Rattus norvegicus: one gene and its partner. The protein of the gene in region 2 interacts with the protein of the main gene of each other region in a pairwise test. Links are inferred from orthologs where the notes say so. Each region holds a gene or a part of one and is shown on either strand. Other genes may lie near its edges.

Evidence for each region.
Region 1: the proteins of Ywhae (region 2) and Dtl interact in binary tests that used the Homo sapiens proteins (3 or more experiments, as listed by UniProt). The link is inferred for Rattus norvegicus from reciprocal best matches to the Homo sapiens genes YWHAE and DTL.

The regions. Positions count from the first base shown.
Region 1 is NC_086031.1:105,672,274-105,675,928, forward strand, and holds part of Dtl (denticleless protein homolog), read right to left. Parts: intron 2,414-3,655; coding exon 2,348-2,413; intron 940-2,347; coding exon 827-939; intron 1-826. UniProt on the Homo sapiens protein: Substrate-specific adapter of a DCX (DDB1-CUL4-X-box) E3 ubiquitin-protein ligase complex required for cell cycle control, DNA damage response and translesion DNA synthesis.
Region 2 is NC_086028.1:61,110,287-61,113,941, forward strand, and holds part of Ywhae (14-3-3 protein epsilon), read left to right. Parts: intron 1-597; coding exon 598-804; intron 805-3,246; coding exon 3,247-3,383; intron 3,384-3,655. UniProt on the Homo sapiens protein: Adapter protein implicated in the regulation of a large spectrum of both general and specialized signaling pathways. Binds to a large number of partners, usually by recognition of a phosphoserine or phosphothreonine motif.

The DNA of each region.
Region 1 (3,655 bases), on a different chromosome or scaffold from region 2:
CTTAATTTTCTGAATCTATTTCTATCACTCAAGGTGACTTGCTCCTTTTCTCCAAGTCTATATGACTCTGAGATCTCGGTGTACATCTATAGTAAGTACGTGGGACTGGCAGCTGGCCTGGCAGTCAGTGTAGTTCCTGCTTAACAGTCTTTGCTTAAGCATTTGCATGACTGAGCGTGCTTCGACGTTTCAAATATGGACAAATTCTGAATATAGAAGAACCCACAAAAACAATATTGAAAAACTTCAGCACCATGCTTACAGCAAGTTGACGAAAACATCTACAAGTGACTAAACCTCCACCCATCTTTCCATTACCTATCTTCATTAAAAACAACAGTGCACGTTTCAAAGAGTAAACAAAAAAAGTATATCTATGAAGACAAGGACTCATTTCCCATAAAAAGCTTGTCACTTGGACCTCAACATGCTTCTTCAACTACCTTTTCACTTTTTGTAACAAATGCATGTATGCTCAGAAAGTTCAATCTGTACCATGTCTGCTACACAACCCACTGGAGTTAAGAACCATTTTTTTGTAGTGGTATTAAGTGAGTTTTAATACCAAAGGAATTCAGAGTTACATCCATCTTTTTGCCTAACACAATAGGCAAAAGAAGAAGAGAGATTTGATTCTCCCTACTGTTGAACGCCACTAATGTCATGCAGGTGGCTCACATCTACAGTCCTAACACTTGGTAGGCCTAGGTAGAAAGATCATGTATTTCAGGCCAGCCTAAGGATGCAGAGATCTTGCCTCAAAAGCAAGCAAACACAACAACAACAACAACCACCTATTTACACACACAGTCCTCTAAAACCTTACCACAGATGGAGCAAGTCCTTTTGAATTTTGTTTCTTCTTGGGTTTTGAAGGGGTTTGCTTGTCTGCAGTATTGTGAGCGCCACTGATTTGATTCACTTGTCTATAAAATCCATCTGAAATGTTCCAAGGGAATTGATTTTTAGTGTTTTCTGATTTCAAGCTGAAAGCAATATTTAAACATTTACACAGAACCTCAAAATTTTGTGATTTTTGACTAACTAGTAAAATATACAATAGTTATTTAAAAAAACAAAAAACCCTGAAGAGGCTCAGTAGAGGTAGAGATCCTGAAGATTTGATTCCCAGCTCACACGTTCACATGGAAGGATGGATCCACTTGTGTACTATGGTATGTGTGTATACATACACACAGTAAATTAAAAAACAAAACAAAACAAAAATCTCCCAACAATCCCAAAGAGCCAGTTTATCTCCCATGGTGAGTTTATAACATCACAAAGAAAAACAGATATAGTTATACAGTTTTATTCATAATGGCTAAAACGTGTAAACAATCAAGGTATCCTTTAGTGGACGAATGGATACAATGTGGTACACCTGGACAAAAGAGTAATTCTGTGCTAAAAAGAGATGAGTTATGACGTGACTCAATTATGAAAATCTGGAAAGTCATGGAGACAACCCAGTGGTAGCGAGGCCTAGTGAGGAAGCATGGACACCAGAGCAGACAGACACACGTCTATTTGTCAATATCCACAGCATGTGTGACATGAGAAATAAACCCTGATGTGAGTTATGGACTCGGGGTAATTATGCATCAACCAACACTTGCCAGCTGAAGGAGGCCCCACCTGAATGACAGGAGAGGCTGCGCATGTGTAAGTGTTCAGTGTACATGGACCTCTCTGCACTTTTAATGTTGCTATGAAATTAAAAACTGCTCCACAAAAATAGCTTAATATTTTAAAACAATACATAAATAATGAGAAACACACCAATGACCATCTCCTTTAATACCACTATTGTACAATACAAGCTTATATTCAATTTAATCATTTTTTAAATGCTAAATTATTTTTCTTAATGTGAGGAGAGAAGGAAGGGAATGTACTCCATGGTGCCAGAGTACAGAGGTTGTAGGACAACTTGAGGGAGTTTGCTCTCTCCTTCTACACGTAGGAACTGAAATCGGGTAGTTGGGGTTTGATGACCAGCACCTTTATCTGATGAACCATTTGTCAGGATGAAAAAGGAAAATTAAAAACAAACAAAAACACCTCAAACAAACCTTTATTCAGTGAATCTATGCATTAGTAGTTTTAATTCTATCAATAATTTAGGTAAACAGAATTATAATTCAGAGACAGTATGAAAATAAAAACATGTACTAATAGCTTTGCAATACTCATTACCCTGAGAAGTGAGCAATGAGCAGGACTGGGAACACAAGTGCTCCCTGCTGGCAGCAGAGGAAATCACTAGCATTTTCATTTTGAGTATCTTGTTTTATTAAGCACAGGGTGAGCCACATTTATTAAAATTAAGACAGAACTAGTTTACCTTTTTTGTTGCACCTGGTGTCCCAGATCATAATGTTGCCGTCTCTCCCACCAGTACAGAACACAGCTGTGGAAAGAGTTCATCAAGATGTTGTAAAACAAGTCAGACACATTCCATGGAAATCACCCAGAGAATGAATGCATTCTCTAAAAGTACTGATTTTGGCGCCAGAGATTATAGTAAGAAAATGATATCATAGTACTATCTTAAGTTCTATACACTTTTCACTCATTACCTGTCAATCTTCCTATTTCAAGACAAGTAACATCTAAAAAGTCTTCTTAGCAGGGGTAAAGTTCTTCTACCTCTGGGTATAGAAGAGGCACCAGCATTGAACAGAACACAGAACTTCCATTTATTTGCAATATTTTATGTTTTAGGTAAAAATGAAAGCAAGGTATATATAGCTTCAGTGGCATAGCGTTTGTCCAGTATACACAAGGCCAACGCAAAATATGCAGTCACAAAAAATTTAAAAAGAAACTGTGCTTCCTATGTGGAAGAGCGAGCAATTAACAAACTGATCAACTATAATAGCTATAAATTGAACAAAGTACCAAAACGACTACCTGAGAGCTTTGTGGATACTGAGTCAAAATAGCTAATTTTGTAGGAGTTCACAACTAAATCAGGTGACTAGACCAGAGCAAGCAAGGCAAGAGGTAACTAAAAGCCAATGGAAAAACCTGCCAGCTTCCCTTCAAGACAGATGAACCACGGAAGAGACTGGGGGTGGAGAGGGGCTCTATCACAAGAGCTGCCCAAGCAGGCAAGCTAGACACAGGGAGAACCTTTTACTTATGTCTTCAAACTCAGACTCATCTCAGGATAACATGCTAGAGGTTAACAAATTGAATTGACAGACCTATTGCCTTCCTATATTAATTACTGCACAACTCCGAGTAAACTAAAAACTGTCAAAAAAGCAAATTTTATGGTATATAATATGGTTTGAACAGTGTACCAGTCAGGTAGAAGTAGTGCTCTACCCTCATCAAAGCAGCTTCTTTCTGCAGCAGATGGAGCTGTTTACAGAGACCCACAGCTGCTCAAAATGCAAACAAGTCATTATCCTATGCTCACCCTCAATTGGAACATCTACAATATAACCCCTATGCCCAAGACTCAGTGAATGCCTAGGAGCCAGTGTTACAGATTCTGAGAGCCAGAAGAGCAGAACACCTGCTGTGAGATAGTGACTTCTAGATATAACACAGCCACTGTGCCTTTGAAATCTCAACAGTATGGCTGCCTAATCAAAACCACATAGTGACAATGCCCATTGACATGCTAGCATGGATAAAGGAA
Region 2 (3,655 bases):
CCTAGTTTATTTTGAGAAAAGGTTAGTGTGGCCCAGATTGTCCTGAACTGTGTAGATTGGGTTCATCTCAGGTTTGGAGTGATCTGGTCAACTTCCTAAGTGCTAGGATTGTATGTTACCACACCCTGCCTGGGCTTTTGATTTCCTGGTCTTTTTAGCTAAAGTTTCCCAGTTCACAGTATAATCTTAACTTTCTGTAGAGAAGTAAGGCTGAGAATTACTCAGGGATAGTGGGGGCTCAGCGTGCTCGGGGCTCCTGGGCTCCTGCACTGAAGCGATGGCAGCAAATGTGTTGTGTGATGAGTGAATATACGCCTTTCTTCAGAGACACTTCTGTGAATCTTTTTTTCTTCAGTTATTTCTGAGATAGTTTGCCAATAATTTAAAACAGGTAAAGAAAGAAAAGATGAGCCATCCTGATGGATTCTGAATTTTGTAAAGTTTCTAAAAATATGTCATTTATTAAAGTTTCAGAAAAAATCTGTATCTTAAGTGTTAACATAACATTTTGTCATGTACTACATGGTAGAGAAAATTGCCATGCTGTAAGGACATGTAATTTTCTAATTGTGTTTTTTGTCTACTATTGTATTGTAGGAAAGGGGACTACCACAGGTATCTGGCTGAGTTTGCCACAGGAAACGACAGGAAGGAGGCAGCAGAGAACAGCCTTGTGGCTTACAAAGCTGCTAGTGACATTGCGATGACAGAACTTCCTCCAACGCACCCCATTCGTTTAGGTCTTGCTCTCAACTTTTCCGTATTCTACTATGAAATTCTTAATTCCCCCGACCGTGCCTGCAGGTAAGTAGTGGACGAAAGTTCCCAGTGTGGAATGCAAAGGCTCTAGAGGACCTGCCTTCTGTCTTCTTGTAGGTGTCACAGGATTCTCTTGACTTAATTTTTATTAGCGTTTATTCAGTCTTTTGGGGTTGCTTGCTTTGTTTGAGGCATGGTCTTGGTACTAGGTGTCTAGTATAGCCTTGAATGGATTATACTCTTACTACTCTTAGTGAACAACTTTCCTTTTCAAAAATATTTTCTGTTTAATATGAAGTCTTATTTTTACTCTCATTGGTGATGTGACACTATTGTCATGCTAAGTTTTTTTGCACATTTGTGGGTGTAGATGCGTAGATGTCCCCATAGCTGGGCAGATGAAAATCAGAGGACAACTTGAGGGAATTGATTCTCTCCCTGCTATGATGGGCCCTAGGAGTCAAATCATGGCACTCACTAGTTGTGAACTCTTTTGGGGAGTTCTGGGAACTGAACATAGATCCTTTGGAAGGACAGCTAATGTACTTAACCACTGAGCCATCTCTCCAACCTCCTTTTCTCCCATTTTTCAGGTTGTTTCTGGTTTTTAAATCATGCTTTAGAACCCTCAGCATCAGCTAATTTCAAAACATTTTCCTCACTCCACCCTATCTGAGTTTAACCTGTGACTCTTATCCAGATTCTCCTAACCTGTTTCACTGTCTGAATTTGCTTGTTCTTGGCATCTTACATAAGTAAAATTGTTTTAATTTCTTGGTAACAGTATCTATAAATCTTCTATCCCATCCAGGGGTGGTGGCTTGTGCCTGTAATCCAGTCCTCAGGCGACTGAGGCAGGAGGATGAGCACACTTGCCTTGGTTACAGTGTGAAATCGCCGGCTTCTTTTCACCTTTTGTAAAGTGCATTGATATATGAACTTTCCCCCCTGTTTTTAGTGCAGAAAATTGAATCCAAGGCCTGTGTGTTTTAAGGTTTTTTTTTTGTGTATATATGTTTGTGTTTATGCCTGGTTGAGGTGGGAGGGAAAAGTGGACATTCATTGCCTGCTTTTCTCACTTGGCACCTCTTAAATTTTTTTTTTTTTTTAAATGTATGGGCCAGGGAGGTGGCTCAGCAGGTAAAAATGTTTGCCATGAGGCTTGCCAGCCTGAGTCACCTCCAGGACCCACATGCCCACTCACAGTGCAAAATAAAAGGTGTTTAATGTGTGTGTGTATGTGTTTCTCTGTGTGTGTGTCAGAGAACAATGTGGAGGTAGTTGTACCTGTTATCTGAATGACAAGGTTTCCATAGATTTTTACTGAAGAAGCTATAGCTGTTAGTGCTGGTGTTGACTGAATTTCTCACTATTGTTTCCCATACAGATGCCTCTTTGCCTTGGCTAAGTGTAGATTTCATTTCTTTTTTTAAGATGTAGCCAATGGGACTGAGGCTGTTGCTCATTGGTAAATTGGCTCACATAGTCCAGTCTCTATTAAAATGTATTGATTGATACTATTGTGCATCCAAGATTTTCTCTTTCATTAAAACTTAATAGAACTCAGAAAAATATCACACATATATTTTTATGGCGGTTTTGGGTGGGGTATATAGTTCTTTACGGTCTAGCCTATTTATAATAGTTTGTATAAATCATACTAATAATTAGTGCCTTGGGGCTAGAGAGATGGCGTAGTGTTAAGAATATGTGCTTTCAGGTGACCTGAGTTTTATTTCCAGCATCCACATTAAGCAGCTCCCCAACTGCTCATGTCTCCAGTTCTAGGGGGTCTGATGCCTCAGCCCTCATCAGACACCTACATTCTTGTGTACACACACACACACACACACACACACACATCAAAAAAAAAATTTTTTTTTTTTAAAGAATTAGCGCCTTAGCTGAGTGAGGTTGTACAGGGCTGTGAGAGACTGAGGCAGTTTATATAATTGCTTTGAGATATGCTCTCACTGTGTCACCCCAGCTGGCATGGAACTAGATCTTGCTCCCTTCCAAGTGCAGAAGTTAGTTATGTACTAGCACTCTTGGCTAGGGTTGGGATTCCAAGGACTGCCTTGGTTTATATATAGGAAAGTGTTTAAAAAGCAATTCTAGCATTTATTGAGATGGCTGAGTAGGTAGGGTGCCTCATAGCCAGAGTTTAGTTCTTAGGATTTATGTGATGGAGATAGAGAGGCAACTATGACAGGTTCATCTATATAAAATTTTAGAAATGTATTTTTTATTATTAAAAACAAGCTGGGGGTTGGGGATTTAGCTCAGTGGTAGAGTACTTGCCTAGGAAGCGCAAGGCCCTGGGTTAGGTCCCCAGCTCTGAAAAAAAAACAAAAAAAAACCAAGCTGGACAAAAAATATTTAAAGTTATCTAGGCAATTGTCTTTGTGACTGGTAGAATCACTGAGAGACGTGCCCATTGTTGCTTTCTTTATTGTTAGTTGGTTAATGATAGTGTGTTCATTTCAGGTTGGCAAAAGCAGCTTTTGATGACGCAATTGCAGAACTGGACACGCTGAGTGAAGAAAGCTATAAGGACTCCACACTCATCATGCAGCTGCTACGTGATAACCTGACGCTGTGGACCTCAGACATGCAGGGCGATGGTGAGCAAGCCCAGACTGCTTCTCTAACGTTGCTTCTTCTAAATTCTTTGCTGTTTCTTAGTCTTGGTCTATAATTCAGACTCAGCCTGTCTGCAGTAGTTAACGTTTATTCCTTCTGTAGGAAGTCGTGTCTGAGTACCATTTTGACCTCTTTATAGTGAAAGTAAAAGGCCTATTTGACAATTTCATACATGGTGTAGAAATACTATGCTAATATTTAGTGGAAAGGTTTTGCCTTTAATTTTGTTAGTACTCACTCACCCTGCACTAGT